Linked DNA regions of Macaca mulatta. The protein of the gene in region 1 interacts with the protein of each later gene in a pairwise test. Links are inferred from orthologs where the notes say so. Each region holds a gene or a part of one and is shown in the gene's direction. Other genes may lie near its edges.

Evidence for each region.
Region 2: the proteins of SORBS3 (region 1) and EIF3H interact in binary tests that used the Homo sapiens proteins (3 or more experiments, as listed by UniProt). The two-hybrid records come from large-scale screens. The link is inferred for Macaca mulatta from reciprocal best matches to the Homo sapiens genes SORBS3 and EIF3H.
Region 3: the proteins of SORBS3 (region 1) and SOCS7 interact in binary tests that used the Homo sapiens proteins (3 or more experiments, as listed by UniProt). The link is inferred for Macaca mulatta from reciprocal best matches to the Homo sapiens genes SORBS3 and SOCS7.
Region 4: the proteins of SORBS3 (region 1) and SH2D4A interact in binary tests that used the Homo sapiens proteins (3 or more experiments, as listed by UniProt). The two-hybrid records come from large-scale screens. The link is inferred for Macaca mulatta from reciprocal best matches to the Homo sapiens genes SORBS3 and SH2D4A.

Annotation. Positions count from the first base shown.
Region 1 is NC_133413.1:24,214,684-24,219,044, forward strand, and holds the start of SORBS3 (vinexin), read left to right. Parts: upstream 1-1,536; 5' UTR 1,537-1,715; coding exon 1,716-1,822; exon of another isoform or gene 1,823-2,355; intron 2,356-3,696; exon of another isoform or gene 3,697-3,738; coding exon of another isoform or gene 3,739-3,792; intron 3,793-4,001; exon of another isoform or gene 4,002-4,214; intron 4,215-4,361. UniProt on the Homo sapiens protein: Vinexin alpha isoform promotes up-regulation of actin stress fiber formation. Vinexin beta isoform plays a role in cell spreading and enhances the activation of JNK/SAPK in response to EGF stimulation by using its third SH3 domain.
Region 2 is NC_133413.1:127,045,655-127,049,215, reverse strand, and holds part of EIF3H (eukaryotic translation initiation factor 3 subunit H), read left to right. Parts: coding exon 1-144; intron 145-1,632; coding exon 1,633-1,732; intron 1,733-2,940; coding exon 2,941-3,090; intron 3,091-3,561.
Region 3 is NC_133421.1:62,662,109-62,665,669, forward strand, and holds part of SOCS7 (suppressor of cytokine signaling 7), read left to right. Parts: intron 1-3,136; coding exon 3,137-3,272; intron 3,273-3,561. UniProt on the Homo sapiens protein: Substrate-recognition component of a cullin-5-RING E3 ubiquitin-protein ligase complex (ECS complex, also named CRL5 complex), which mediates the ubiquitination and subsequent proteasomal degradation of target proteins, such as DAB1 and IRS1.
Region 4 is NC_133413.1:20,954,168-20,958,424, forward strand, and holds the start of SH2D4A (SH2 domain-containing protein 4A), read left to right. Parts: upstream 1-1,408; 5' UTR 1,409-2,050; coding exon of another isoform or gene 2,051-2,096; intron 2,097-2,171; exon of another isoform or gene 2,172-2,352; intron 2,353-3,445; exon of another isoform or gene 3,446-3,547; intron 3,548-4,257. UniProt on the Homo sapiens protein: Inhibits estrogen-induced cell proliferation by competing with PLCG for binding to ESR1, blocking the effect of estrogen on PLCG and repressing estrogen-induced proliferation. May play a role in T-cell development and function.

The DNA of each region.
Region 1 (4,361 bases):
CTGTTCCCATGAGTGGTTGGCATGGAAAGGGCCATCAGTAGAACTTGGCTGGCAACATTTGCAGGAGCAGGAATCAAGAGAGGACCCAGGAGAAAGGAATGGAGCCCAGGGGATGAAACATAGTCCAGATTCTTGCTGGTGTGTCCATGTGACTTGGTTTCAATTCCTCACCATTGTGTCACTGTGGCCTTCTAGAGAAGTCCAAACTGCTGGAAACGGGCAGTGCTTTCTGTGCTAACCCCTTCTGGTCTAACTGCTCAGCTTAGAGGAAGGAAGAAAACACTCAGAATTCTGAGAGCAAAACCCCCCAAAAAATCTACTCAAAGCACCTGAAGTTCATCCCTGGGGAGGAGAAGAAAGGAAGAGCAGATGCCCTGTATCTCCATGGGAGTACCGAGGCACAGAGCTAGGGCCGCCTAACTGTCCAGGGTAGATCTCAGAGGGTGACTCATCTGAATTGCCGATTCCAAGCACCAGAGCAAGGTGCTCCTCAAGAACTGAGTCCGGGTTCATGTCTTCTGGGACCCCTGGCTTCCCTCTTCCCACTTGAGAACTAAAACTGGGTGCTCTGCCCACCCCGCTCACCCCGCCTTCACTTCAGTGCTCTTTCCCCTCATCTGTCATCCTTGGTGACAGAGGTTGCTTTTCAGAGTGACCCGCATTCCACCACCTTCTCCCCCTCCCTGTGAAGAGCCACATTTACTGGTAGTCCCCTGGCTCATCCTCCCCTGCAGGCGGGGGATGGGGGGCAGGGGATGTGGACAGACCCCTGTTGATGGTGATGTTGGGGACTACCCACAGAACAAAAGGTGCAGCCTCAAGGGCTTGAGCGGGGGATACTGGTGCCTGGGATCAGGTAGCTGGGAAAACAGGGCAGTTACATAACTCTGTTTACTGTGGCTCAGGTGGCTCTGAGAAGGCAGAGGCAGCCCCCGACAAAGGGCAGTGCCAGAGGTGGGGAAGCGGCGACTCACAGGGAGGGAGGTCCCTCTTAGACAGGGGAGTCGTGCTTGCAAAGGGGAGAGTGCAGTGGGATTTGGAAAGGAAAGGAATCTGTTGTGTTGTTGACAGCCAGCTGGCCAGCCGCCTTATCTAGGACCATCTTCCCAGCCTTAGCCTCTCCCTAACCATGCCAGCTGTGGAGGTAGCAAGGGAAGCTGAGCTAGAGGGAGGCGTCGGGAAATCTGACACCTGGTTCCTGGCTCAATCTCCAAACCTTGCTACCTTTCCCCCCTTAATCTACTTTTCAAAGAGAACGAATTATTCTCTTTAGATAAGGGCAGAAAGGGAGGAATCAGTCAAATTTCCTTATGTTTTCCCTGCTCTGTGGCCCTCTGTCTCCCATCTTCTCGGCTGTGAGGCCAGATGGGCACCACGGAACACGGTGGATTCTGACCTGAGAGAGGTGATAAACCTGGCAGAGCCCAGGCCTAAGCAGACAGGCAGAAATCAAAGCGGCTCAGGAAGAAAGCTCAGGTCTCCCGTAGACCTTCCCCGCCTCCTCCTACAAAGCTGTTTACTCAAGTCCCGATTCCCATAGAGATGAAACTGGTGGCCAGTCCCCAGCTCCTTGCCCATGGCTGCCACCTCCCTTTGTGAGAAACAGGAAGTGGGGAATTTTGTCAGCTCAGCTGCACCCTCTACACTAAATATTTATCTTGGAGTCCAGGTCAGAGCCCTAGAGAATAAGAGAAGCTTGCTGCTGGTGAGGGGGTATGGCCAGGATTCCTGGAGTCGGAAGAGCTTCAGCTTCACCATCTTGGGAGAAGAAGGAAGAAAGTGAAAGTGATGTGGTCCTTCTTAGTCCCAAGGACCCTGACAGGTGGGAAAAATGCGTGTCTAAGAAAATGGGCACCTATTTTATCCCTGAGGGAGGGAAGAGGCTACCTGGGGTGGGTAAGCAGGTATCTAAGCTTCAGGGGAGGGGCAGTGCACTGCTGCCTCCCTCAAGAAGTGTCCCAGGGTTCCTCCCCTGCTCAGCTGTCCTCCACAGCAGTGCCCCGCAATCCCCATCTCTCCACCTTCCTGGAGAGGCAGGTTCCTGGAAGGAGTCTTGAAGGTCATCTTGTTCAGCTCCCGCTCAGTGCGACAGTTGCCTTTACATAGATGCCCCAGGATTGGCAGACTCAGAACCCCTGGAATCATGTACAAATGTTTCCTGGGAAGCCTTGGACTTGCTTCCCTATGATGTGTCCCCCAATGGTCCCACTGCTGCTGGTGCGGCTGTCTGTGTCTACATGGCAGCCCCGCAGGCGCAAGAGGCCAGCAGGCCTATCTGAAGCTTCTCAACCCAAACATCTCCTCCAGCTTTCACGTGTGATGTCCTTTCAAGGCAACTGGGGAGAACTCCTTTACCTGAAGGAGGGAGAAGATAAGACTAAAGCAGTAATGGTGGTAGGGACTGAAAATCGCTTAGTCTTTTCTCCACTCTCTTTCCTTCCAACCTTTGAGTTGAGCGGTGAGTTTGGAAAACACTCCAAAGCTCTTGGTGGCCTCTGGCACCAGTCTGACACCCAGTAGGAATGCAGGAGATGACATTTGTTTTCATAATTTAGCATTGATCACGCCCAGCTCCTATCTAAAGTTGATCAGCAACTATTTGCTGGTTGGTTGGTTTGGGGCTTGGGGATCCCTGAGCCAACCCAAGGGCTAGAAAGGATTCCAGAGTGTTTCCAGGCCGGTCAATGCTCCTTAGGCATTCCCACTTTCTGAAGCAGGCCCTGTGCCACACAGAGGCTCGGGGCAGAGACAGGGAGAGGGGATGGCCAGAGTGGATGGGGAGCAAGAGGGCCGGGGCTCTAGGGACTCAGCTCAGAGCAGCGAGAACAGCGGAAAAGCAGGCAGATCAAAACAAACACAATGTCCGGGAACACCAAGACCCTCCTAATCCCATCCCCGAAAAAGAGACCCCACCCTTATCCTCTCTAAGGGCGCGGCACGCCCAGGGGTGCCGCTCCCTTGGGCTGATTTCCTCCCTGTGCTTGCACGTGTGTGAGTGTCCCCACGTTTGCAGTGCACGCGCGCCTGTTTGTTTGCACACGCCCGGCCGCGCGCCGCCGCAGGCACACCCTCTCCCCCAGCGCCGACGGGCGGCGGGGCCTTCCCCTGGTCAACTCTGACACTCTGCCCGCGGGGCGCCCTCATCTCGCTCCCGGCCTGTCCGCCTCCCCCGGCCTGCCCAGTTCACCACTCCTGCCCCCTTGTCCGGGCTCCGCCCGGTTCACCACTCCTGCCCCCTGTCCTGGCTCCGCCGCGAGGCCGCTCGCTTCCCACACTCTGGAAATGTCGCTGGAAACTCTGAGTGGCCCGCGTCGGGCCGCCCGACCCCTCCCAGACGCCAGCCCCGCGGTAGGGGCCGGGATGGCAGCTGGGAAACCAGAGAGAGCTCCCCGGGGACCCTCGGCGGCCCCTCCCGGCGCCGCCTCCCCGCCGGCCCGGCCTCCTCTGCAGGGGACCAGTGTCCCCGCGCGCTCCCCGACGGACGGAGGGCACTCGCACGCCCCTCCTCTCCGGCCCAGCCCCGGCCCGCAGTCCAGAGCCGAGACCCAAACTCCGCCCGCCCCGCCGCGCGACTCTCACGGTCCTGCCTCCAGCGCGCACCCCCTCGGCCTCCCTCTTCCTTGTCGGGCGCCCAGCCTGGCCCGGCCCGTCCTGACCCGGTCACGAGGGCCGCGACGGCCCGCGCTTCTCCCTGCCCTTCTTCCCCGAGCGCCCGCGCCAGGCAGCAGCCGGGCAGGGATGCTCCTGCGCTCCCGGACGGCCTCGGGCCCAGCCACCTGCTCGCCCGGGAAGGTAGGTCCGGGGAAGGAGGGGCGGGGAGTAGGCGAGGCCACGGGAGGGACCCATGCCCAACCCCAGGGAACCTCACCGAGTCCCTCCCTGGGGTCCGCGTCCCAAACTCTGGGAAGAGGTGGGAAGTACCCCCCATCAGCCCTCATACCAGAAAAAGCGAAATTCAAGAAACCTGTCCTTGTACACGTGGCCTTGTGGCTGAGAAATACCTGGGTAAGCGCTTAGGGCCAGCCCCCAAGACCAGGGCAGTGTTCAGAGCAGGAAAGCCGGTGTCTGCCCCAGCAGGGCTGCCTCCCCTCTCCCGATCCCGGGACCTCGCCCGCTCCCGGGGCTGGCTGCCTGCGTGGAGGGGCGGCCTGAATTCTGGGAGGACCCCTCCGCTCTCTGCTACATGGGGGACCAGTCCCCAGATGCTACCCTCTTCCTTGGAAGTCCTCCGTAAGTCTCCTGACCAGGCTGCCAAGAGAAGAACTCGGACCACCCTTCCCTGGAGGTTCCGGGGGGGATGTCACAGGGAGCAGGGTTGAGAAGGGGCAGATGGGGGCACCAAGGGTCAGCAACCTCTGACT
Region 2 (3,561 bases), about 100 Mb from region 1:
GGAGCCTTCGCCATGTAAACATTGATCATCTTCATGTGGGCTGGTACCAGTCCACATACTATGGCTCATTCGTTACCCGGGCGCTCCTGGACTCTCAGTTCAGTTACCAGCATGCCATTGAAGAATCTGTCGTTCTCATTTATGGTTAGTAGGAGGTTTATTATTCTTTTTTTCCCTTAATATTATTACTACTATTTTTGCTTTCTGTCTTTTTTGCCTCTATGAGCAGTCTGGCAGGCCTTCTCAAGTAAATACCAACCCTGTTTCTGCAGCAGCCTCAGCAGCAGCTCAGTCTAGACAGGGTTTCCTTCTTTCTGTTTATTTTTCTTGCTATCAGAGCCCTGATGTGTACATTTTGGAATGCTGGAGTAGCTGCTTCATTTTTATTCCTCCATCTCCCCTCCCTCATTGAAGGGGCTGGTGGAACTAGACCAGATGTCTTAACAAACCCCGATTGCTAGAGTGTCTGGCTCTGTACGTGACTGACCAATCATAATACAGTGTGCCAAGTTTTTTTTATACCTCTGACAACAGTGTACAAAACCTGGACTGTTTCTTAGCACAAAGATTTTTTTCTTTTCGGCCTATTTAATGGTGTTTCCTCAAGCTCTCCAGACCAGATGTTCTGTGCTGTATCAGAACTGTAGGCAATTTAACAGCTTTATAGCCTTCCCCCTCCCCAAACACTCACAGTTTGCCATATCTGGCAGACTTGCATATAGTTTCCAGCTGAGAAGTAAATGTAACGTCCTGAGTATCTGTCAGAAAAAATACTAATGAATACGATCAATCTTATGAGCTGCCCCAAAATTGTTTCAGTATGTTAACAATTGGATTACAGTAAAGAACAAGTTGTTAAAGTGTACTTATATTGGCTGGAAACATTGCATCATCAGACCTTGATGAATTTTCCACTTGTTTCAATCTATTTTGGTTTTCATTTTATCACCTATTGCAAAAAGTTTCACTGTGTTAAGTTTCAGACAACATGAATGTTAACACAGGTTTTAGGCGAATATTGGCATGCCAGAGCTGTTATCATGCAGCAAGTGCTAAGCTCCCTTACGCATGGAGTGTTTCAGCGGTTAGTTTTGACAAAATTAGTTTCTCCAAAAAGACACTTCTGTGATAGCAGTTTGACTTGAATGGTTTTTACAATCTGTTTTAACGAAGAAATGTGAACAGTGATTATTAGGATGGATACATTTTGTGTGCAGGGCTATTCATTTTAAGTTGAATGAAGAGCTACCCAAGTATATGCAGTGGATTTTCATGTTTAATATTTATCAGTGATTTCCTAATTATACAAGATGTCTAGAACATATGATACATTTAATTTTCAGCAAGATTACTGATTCTTGCTGAGGAATGAATTTGAAAATAACTCTTGTATGTTTAGTTTTTGACAGAGGAAATTATCATAAGTAGCATAGATAGAGGTATTCCTGCATTTTCGAGTGCTACTTGCTATATAGTGGTTTGAGTCGGCTTCAAATTGTGTTCTGGTTGTTTATTTTGATCTTTATTTTGCAAAGATTGTGTGATATGCAACAGAATGTGCCTAGAACCAATGCTCTTCAAGCATGGTAGTGACAAAATTCTTAGTAATTTGTTTCTCTTTCCTTGTTTGAGATCCCATAAAAACTGCCCAAGGGTCTCTCTCACTAAAGGCTTACAGACTGACTCCTAAACTGATGGAAGTTTGTAAAGAAAAGGATTTTTCCCCTGAAGCGTAAGTGTTTGGGGGCATCTGGTAAAGGGTTGGGTATTTTTCTGTTAAGATTTTTCTTTGCCACGTCTCTTGCATCCTCGGTTGTGGTGCAGTAATGCTTTTGCCATGTGGACTGTAGAAGTTTTCTGCATGCCAAGTGCTGCTTGCTCTATCCCTTTCCGTGTTTAAATTATTCTTTAGGGAATGTCTCATCTGTTGTTCTCAGCAAGGGTGAATTCAGTTAGAATGGGAATTAATTAGCTACTGGATTCGAAGAAATAAATGATTGAATAAAGGGAGGTGGAAAGAGTGATCAGTGGCTGTCCGATTGTAAGCTCTGTGTCAGACTGGTTGTGAGCTGTGTGTCTTATTTTCCGAACCCTTGTTTAATGAGGGGGTGGGAAAGATATAAATATTTTAAGAATTTGTTAAAGAATGTGGCTTATTGGCAATTTTATGGGTGACAGGTATGCAGAGAATTAATGGATGGAGCTGTTTTGGGATCCTATTCAATGGCATTGTAATATTTACTTTAAATCAATTAAATACTTAGAATTCTTCCATTTTCTGTTAATTATAGAAATTTTTAGTTCCTGTTGAATCAAAATTAATGGCTTTGACTTCATGCAGGACAGTTCATCTCTAGTTTCCCATTTGGCTCCTAAAAAGTTAAGGTACAGAGAATTTTAAAAGAAAAATCCTCATGGACAATTCCTGGATGTGGTAGCTATAACTAAACTATGAGAAACTGTGTTCTTGGCGTGTTCTAACTATTGTATCTGGAGTCTCCTTGAGTGTTCTGCTACTTGTTAAACTCTTAATTGAAGAGGCTTTTAAAATGAACTTTTCAAGAAATAGAGTATTTCTCATTTCTAGCTATTTTAAATTAAGTTGTAGATGTAGGTTGTGTAGCATAACTTACTGTGACATTTACATTTTAGTATCAGTGAAATTTTAAAGATACCTGATTACAAAGAATGAGTAGTTTCTTCTGCCAAGAATCTTATTTTCTGGGCTTTAGCTCAAATTCAGATCATTTTCAAAGTTACTCAAATGACCTAACTTATGTTTGACTCTGTAAAACTCTAGTTTCTCTACTTTTTTTTTTAAAGAGTGTTAATGAAACAAAGATCTTGGATAGGGCCTATAATTAGGTAAATTTTATGAAATAGTCAATTTAGCACCTACTTTTGACCATCAGACTAAAGTATTTTTAACATGCTTCACAGTTTGAAAAAAGCAAATATCACCTTTGAGTACATGTTTGAAGAAGTGCCGATTGTAATTAAAAATTCACATCTGATCAATGTCCTAATGTGGGAACTTGAAAAGAAGTCAGCTGTTGCAGATAAACATGAGTTGCTCAGCCTTGCCAGCAGGTAAGTGGCCCTGCCTAATCAAAAGTCCCATTTTTTAGAACTTTCTGCAAAAGATTCTTTCACATAAACTTTACCTGTGAAACAAGAAAACAATTACTTAAGAACATTTATAGGTTCTTAAAACCTGTATAACATGGAGTAATAGTGTGGCCTTGTTAGGATCTCAGGGAAAAACGCCAAACTGATCATATGAAACGACACATTGTTTGAATACCAATTGCTCATATTAGAAGAACCCTCTGCTGCCTTCTTTGCTGTATCATTTGTGCTTTGATAAGGTCAGTGCCCATGAGGGAGGGCTTTTTTATATGGCTCAGCTTTATTTCTTGTACACGATCCTAAGAGGCTTAGGGTATTATGTCTGGATGTTTAATAATGCTCAGGAAAAGAACAGAAATGCGTTTTTCTTTTACTGGCTGTACTTGCCCTTGTTCAGATGCAGACTCTTGCAGTTGTAAAGTTCCAGTTGTT
Region 3 (3,561 bases), on another chromosome or scaffold:
CTTAGGGCAGGTGTTCAAGGCAGGCCGACTTTATTGGCTCCATGCCACAGCAAGTTCTCTAAGCTCAGTGGGCCTCAGTTTCTTTATATGTGAAATGGGGATGGTGGTGTTTGCCTCAAAGTATAGTTTTAAAGACTAAATAAGTTATCATTATTACTATTATTTTTTTTAGAGACAGGGTCATGCTCTGTTACCCAGGCTGGAGTGCAGCAGTGCAATCTTGGCTCACTGTAGCCTCGAGTTCCTGGCCTCAAGTGATCTTTCCTCCTTGGTCTCCCAAAGTACTAGGATTACAGGCATGTGCCACTGCACCTAGCCTGAGTATGTTTTTAAGATGAGCTTACTTGCTCAGTAACAATAAAATAATATATTTTGATTTCTTTTTTTTTTTTTCCCCCCAGAAAGTCTGTTGTCAGGGATCATGAAAAAGCTTTGGGATGCAGTGTGCAAGCTTTCATTTGTTTTGTTTTCATGCCTTCAAACAAAATTTTAAAACTATCTGGGCCGGGCATGGTGGCTCACACCTGTAATCCCAGCACTTTGGGAGGCTGAGGCAGGTGGATCACCCGAGGTCAGGAGTTCGAGACCAACCTAGCCAACATGGTGAAACCCCGTCTCTACTAAAAATACAAATATTAGCTGGGCATGTTGGTGGGCACCTGTAATCCCAGCTACTCGGGAGGCTAAGGCAGGAGAATCGCTTGAACCTAGGAGTTGGAGCTTGCAGTGAGCCGAAATCACGCCACTGCACTCCAGCCTGGGCGACAAGGGCAAGATGCCGTCTTAAACAAACAAATAAACAAAAAACCTGTTTGAACTTAAACCCCAATAATAGTAGATATTTTATTTTCCAATCAGTTGTGTCTACAGAATTGTCTACAGAATGTCTTTTGATATGACAATGGCTGAGAATTCTTTGACAGGTTTTACAACTCAGATTCTTTCTCAGAGAATCTTGTTTACCTTCCATAGCCCCTTTGTTTATTGAAAACAAAATATTCTGGCCGGGCGCGGTGGCTCAAGCCTGTAATCCCAGCACTTTGGGAGGCCGAGACGGGTGGATCACGAGGTCAGGAGATCGAGACCATCCTGGCTAACACGGTGAAACCCCGTCTCTACTAAGAAATACAAAAAACTAGCCGGGCGAGGTGTCGGGCGCCTGTAGTCCCAGCTACTTGGGAGGCTGAGGCCGGAGAATGGCGTGAACCCGGGAGGCGGAGCTTGCAGTGAGCTGAGATCGTGCCACTGCACTCCAGCCTGGGCTACAGAGTGAGACTCCGTCTCAAAAAAAAAAAAAAAAAAAGAAAACAAAATATTCTTAGTTCCCTTGAACCCCAGTGTTCCTGCCATTCTGGATGTCTCTGTGCTGTGGCGTGGGGCCCTTTTTGGGGTGGGATTCCCCAGCACATAGCCTGCTAATACATAAGGAGGTGGTACTCCCATTGAGTCTATTTGGCATCAATCAGCAGGCAGGTTTGCACTGAGTAGTACTAAACCCAGCTTGCCCAAGTTATTGTGGTGGTTGTTCTTTTAAAAGCATCATCTTTTTTTGGTTTCCTGGCCTAAAATTTCAGAAGCAGGAAGTGGGGGTTGTGGATGGTGAGTATAAGAGGGGCTAAACCTGATTGTCCTGGCTTGAAGTAATAGCGGGAATAATAGATTTGTCAACTTTGATCCCAGCTGTTACCTTCTACTTACCAGCCTCTCTGCTGAACCAGTTGGAATTTGGTGGGGACTCCTCTGAACGGCTTTTCTGAGTCCTCACTCTCAGGATACTAGTAGATGTGTCCAACAAGTATCTCCCATTCCCAGCAGGGATCCTTTTGATTCTTGGCCTTCCCAAGAGCCTCAGGCCTGGGACTGGCCACTTGGGTCAAGCAGTGTCTCTAGTTTGGCATCATTGGACTACTCCAAGGAGCAGGACTCTCAGCTGTTATGAGTGATGCTAGGAGCCAGGCACAGTGGCTCACGCCTATAATTCTAGCACTTTGGGAGGCCGAGGCAGGTGGATTGCTTGAGCCCAGGAGTTTGAGACTAGCCTGGGCAACACAGGGAACCCCCGTCTCTACTAAAAATACAAAAATTAGCTGGGTACAGTGGCATGCACCTGTGGTCCCAGCTACTCAGGAGGCTGAGGCAGGAGGATTTCTTGAGTCTGGGAGGTCAAGGCTGCAGTGAGCTGAGATTGGGCCACTGCACTCCAGCCTGGGTGACAGAACGAGACCCTGTCTCCAAAAAAAAAAAAAAAAAAAAAAAAAACCAGGCCGGGCGCAGTGGCTCACGCTTGTAATCCCAGCACTTTGGGAGGCCAAGGCAGGTGGATCACCTGAGGTCGGGAGTTCAAGACCAGCCTGACCAACATGGAGAAACCCCATCTCTACTAAAAATACAAAATTAGCCGGGGTGGTGGCACATGCCTGTAATCCCAGCTACTCGGGAGGCTGAGGCAGGAGAATCGCTTGAACCCGGGAGGCGGAGGTTGCGGTGAGCCGAGATCGCGCCATTGCACTCCAGCCTGGGCAAAAAGAGCAAAACTCTCAGGCCGGGCGGGGTGGCTCAAGCCTGTAATCCCAGCACTTAATCCCAGCACTTTGGGAGGCCGAGACGGGCAGATCACGAGGTCAGGAGATCGAGACCATCCTGGCTAACACGGTGAAACCCCGTCTCTACTAAAAATAATACCAAAAAAACTAGCTGGGCGAGGTGGCGGGCGCCTGTAGTCCCAGCTACTCGGGAGGCTGAGGCAGGAGAATGGCGTAAACCCGGGAGACGGAGCTTGCAGTGAGCTAAGATCCGGCCACTGCACTCCAGCCTGGGTGACAGAGTGAGACTCTGTCTCACAAAAAAAAAAAAAAAAAAGCGAAACTCTGTCTCAAAAAAAAAAAAAAACCACTCACACACACAAAAGTGATGCTAGGGAGGCCTTTGGCAGAGAATAGACTTCCTTAAGTGTGAAGGTGGTGGTGGTTCTTCTGGAAATGGAAATCAACAGCCCTTTGTGGAGGGGCTTTTGCACAGAATACATATATGAACCATAAAGAAGTCCCATTTCCCCTCCCTAGGTTCTCTTCATACAAGAAATGGTAGTTAGCTCCATTGTTTCTCTGAATATTTTTCTTTGTTTTCTTTCTTGAAGGACTGCCACCAACTCCTGTCCAGCTGCTCTATCCAGTGTCCCGATTCAGCAATGTCAAATCCCTCCAGCACCTTTGCAGATTCCGGATACGACAGCTCGTCAGGATAGATCACATCCCAGATCTCCCACTGCCTAAGTACAATGGGGTTCTTAGGGTTGGGACAGGAATGAGTAAGGGGGTTGTGGGGAGGTAACAAATGTCAGTGAGGCCTGCAAGCTACCTTCACAGGCAGAGTCTGGCATAAAATATTTGCAGACATCATTCTTTCACATTTCTTGTGTCTTAGCACCTAACTTTAGAACTGTCATATTGCAGCCAGAGGGAGGAAGGTGTGTGTGTCAGCCTCCCTTCTGCAGTCTCTGTGAAGAATAGAGTAGAAGTGGTAAGGGTAAGGAAGACAGAACTATAATAACTGAGAAAATGG
Region 4 (4,257 bases), about 3.3 Mb from region 1:
GGGAAAAACATCGAGCTTTTCTCTTCCAGACCATGCCAATTAAAAGGAAATTCCAGGAGTCAGGAGAAAGGGAACAAAAAGAGAATGTGGTAGAGGCGAGGGTAGACCAAGTAAAGAAGATGGAGAAGAAACTATAGAAATAAGAGAAGAAGAGATCATGCCAAATACAGGAAAGAGGCATGAGACAAGAAGGATGGAAAGGGGCAGAGAGAAAAGGGAAGAGTCTGGGTTCTGAGCTGATTGTGCTATTTGTGTACAGTGTGTGTTCCTTTGGGCTGTTAACATTCTTTCAAGATAGAAGCTCCAAGATGTTTCCTTACCTAATCTCCTAAGTGGCATACCATCATCACTTCTGCCGGGTTCTATTGGTCAAGCAAACCAACCTTTACAAAGTGGCGGGGAGCTATGCAAGGGTATGAATAACAGGAAGACGGGATCCCTGGGAATGACTTGGAATGTAAGTGGCATGGTGGGCAGAACCATAGCCTAGGGTGAGATAGCAGGAACCTGGAATTATAGTACCTTAATGTGATATGAACTGATCTGAGCAAATGTGTTTGAACACTCACCACATGCCAAGAGCTGTTCTAATCCCTTTGCATGCGGTATCTCATTTAACCCTCTTAACAACTTACGGAGGCAGACACTCTATCCAGAGAAGAAATTGAGGTACAGAGGTTAGTAGCACAGTGACAGAGCTATTATAAGGAAGGACTTGTCAGGACCTGGAGAGAGACTGGGTATGAGAAAGGTAAGTGGCTGTCACAGTGTCCTATGGGATTTTTCCAGATAAACCACCCTGTATAGTTAACCGATCCATCCATGCAGGGCTAGGATTCATTTCGACCTCGCCATAGTAGCTTTCCAGGGGCCAATCCCACTCCAGCCTAAAGCACCCCATAGGCTATCATTTAAACTGCAGTAGGAACTAAGCCTTAGACCAGAAATTTCTCCCTGATGGGATCCCTGGAATGGTTCCTAAATAGCTGGGTCTTGTTTCCTGACAATGCCGCCTGCCCCGAGGCTTGATGTGACTGCATAGCTTCTGCCGTTTGTAAAGGCGGGGAATGACGTTTTATGTTTGAACCCAGCAGGTCAGGCTCCTGAAGAGGTCAGGTAGTCTGTGGAGAGGACTACTGGTGTTTGCTATTTATTACATCTCTCCCAACACATAAAATCTGGGGTTCACCAAAGCAGGCGGTTTTCTTCCACATACTCCTCTAGGATGGAAAATGCCCTCCAGTGGAAATGCCTTTCCACTCTGCTTCTGCTGAATTTTCCTCCAAGATTTCCTCTAACTGTGGACTGCCAGCTCCTCCCTGATGTCTTCAGGCCCCAACCCAACCTGTTCTTGTTGCAATCCACAAGACTCCTTTCAGCATCTTAACTTTTTCCCCAGTTTTCTTTCATTTTCTCCTGGTCTGTGTTGACTGCGGTCTCCTTCTCAGCCTTTTCCGTCCTTCATCTTGTCCTACAAAGCCACACCTGTACCGACAAGTGCCAAAGAGTTTGATCATTTACTTAATGTCAACAAAAGAAAGAAAAAAAAAGCTCTAGAGTCGCCTTGGCCTGCGGCACCCAAGCCGAGTGAACAAGTGGGGCCCGCGCACCCTCCTACCCTCCACCTCGCATGGAACCCCGAGCTCTGAAACATGGAAAGGCCCAGACCTGCTGATTTAATCTAAGTCCTGCAGTCCCCAAGAGATCATAGACTGCAGATCCCAGTCCCACGAACTAAGAGAGGAGAGGAGCAAGGCTACCCCGGACTACCGCAGCTCGGGGACAGCGCGCAGACCAGGCGGCCCGAGATGCGCAGGCCACGCAGCCTGGCCGACGACTGTCCCTGGAGAGCCTCCAGGCGCCCGGGTGGGGCCGCGATCGCGCCCCGCTAGTCACCCGGCATGTGGGCGCGGCGGGGCGGCGCGGGCGGGCCGGCTGCAGGAGCTGTTTGGCGTCCCGGTCAGAGTATTTGCTCAGCCCGCCTGCGCCGCTTGGGACGCTTCTGCCTTTCCCTCCCTCCCTTCCCCGACGGCTTCTGGCGGCCAAGTGGATGTGGCGGGTGATCGGGCCACCCTGCCCAGGGGCGCCCAGCACTGGTAGGTGCTGGGGTTGGGGAGAGGCTTTGGCGAGAGTGTGCATGGGGTGGGAGTAGGGGGAAGGGAATTTCCTCGGGGGTTGCAGGGGTGCATGGGAGGCGCAGGGGCCAGAGGGGGCGGGCGGAAGCCTCACCCCCGCCTCCACCCCTTCGCGCCGCCCGGGGCGGGCTCAGGTGCGGGGTTAGGCGGCTAGAGCGGCTGCGGCGGGTATCCGGTGTCCGGTGTCCGGTGTCCGGTGACTGGAGCCGCTGGCTAGGTGAGCGGCTGTCCCCGGGGTCTGGGGGCTTGCAAGGGGTGGCGGGGGGAACTTCGAGGGAGAGGGTCTGCCGGAGCTGAGGACTTTCGGGGAAGTTCTGGGATCCGGCGGGGACACGCGGCGCGTGCTTCTACCCGCAGGGAGTGCAGGCCCCGGGAGGGTCCGGGCTGGACTGGAGTTTCTAGACTCCTAGCAGGAGCACGTCCTGGACCTGCGCCTGGAGATCTTCCAAGAGGGAAGTCCCGGGAAACAGTGGCAGCCGGCGCAGCACCCCGGCAGCGCGTTCCCCGCGCGCCGGCACCCAGGGGCGCCCCCAAGTGGGGTCAGGGCGCGCGCGGAGGCCCGTGCAGCGCCGCCTCCCAGGGGCTGCTGCGGCGGGGCTGGCCCAGACCCAGACCGGGTGCCCACTGGGCTCAACCAAGCGGCGCCCCTGCCCGCTCCTGGACTCGGGGGTTACGCGGGCACCGGAAGGAGCTACAGTTTGTAGGTTTTCTGAGTTGTCTTTCCCTTCCCAGGGAGCTTAGAGAAACAGCAAGCGTGGCACCTCCCCCTTCCGAACAGATGCTCCTCATCGCCCAAAAGGCTTTTATTTGATTGCTGGTTTAATGGAAACAACGACTTGGGTACCATTATTTTAAAATAGTGAATAAATAAGTGGAAAGCATACAGGGGCATAGATTTGGCATAGGAGTGGAATTTTCTATGTATACTAAATCTGTGTGTACAGTAACTTCAAATTTCTGAAGAATAGTATATATTTACAAAACTTGCCAAATTGCTGTCATCTCTGGTAATTTGTTTCATCTCCAAAAACAGCTCTTTTGCTGGTAGATGAATAAGATAAAGTTTGAATAAGAAAACAAAGCTCGACCACAGAGCTGGCTGTTTTAAAAGAATTAGAATTCAAGCTGTATTGTTAATGTTATAGTTACACTGTCCATACCACAATACTTTTATTTATTTTTTATTTTATTGGGTAAGTGCAAAAGTAGTTGTGTTTTTTATGGCAAAAACCACATTTATTTATTTATTTAGGCCATAAAAAAACACAATAACTTTTGCACCGACCTAATGTTTTTCATTTTTGAGGCAGGGTCTCCTTCTATCACCCAGGCTGTAGTGCAGTGGTGCGATCTTGGCCCACTGCAGCCTCAAACTCTCCAGCTCAAGTGATCCTCCCACCTCAGCCTCCCAGGTAGGTCGGACTCTAGGTGTGGGCCACCACACCTGGCTAATTTTTATATTTGTGTAGAGATGGAGTTTTGGCATGTTACCCAAGCTGGTCTCGAACTCCTGAGCTCAAGCAATCCACCCACATTCACCTCCCAAAGTGTTGGGATTACATTTTGAACCACTGTGCCTGGCCTACTATTTTTATGATTTAGGCTGTATCTTAGGCCTTTAAAATTTTTTATTTTGTTTAGGTATCAGAGTTATCCAAAAGACAGTTGTATGGTAGAACAGTGTGAAGGTGTGAGAATCAGGTCAAATCTATGGTATCATGGAAAACAACAGATTCTCTGATCCTTTAGCAATTGCTGTTCAGAATAAATTGCAGGTGTGGGCTTGCTTCTTATCATTTCTCTCTTTTAAGAAAGGTGCTGTGTTAGCTGAGCTATTCCTTTGTTGGATCTTGAATAACTGGAGGTTTGCTGCCCTTGATATAGTATGGGAAAGTCCTCAGCATTTGAATCCGTATCAGCAATGATTATTTGTTCTCGTCAGGGAATGAAAGTGGGAAAACCCTGGTTAGTTAATTTCCTCATTTCTATTTCTTCTACCGTGGCTCCACCAGTCTCCTTCACTTCACAGTAGATTATGTCACATACCGACTCATTAGGAGTCACAGACTGAACCAGCCCTCATTTCACAGATGAGGAAACTGAGTCCCGAGGAGGCGAGGTG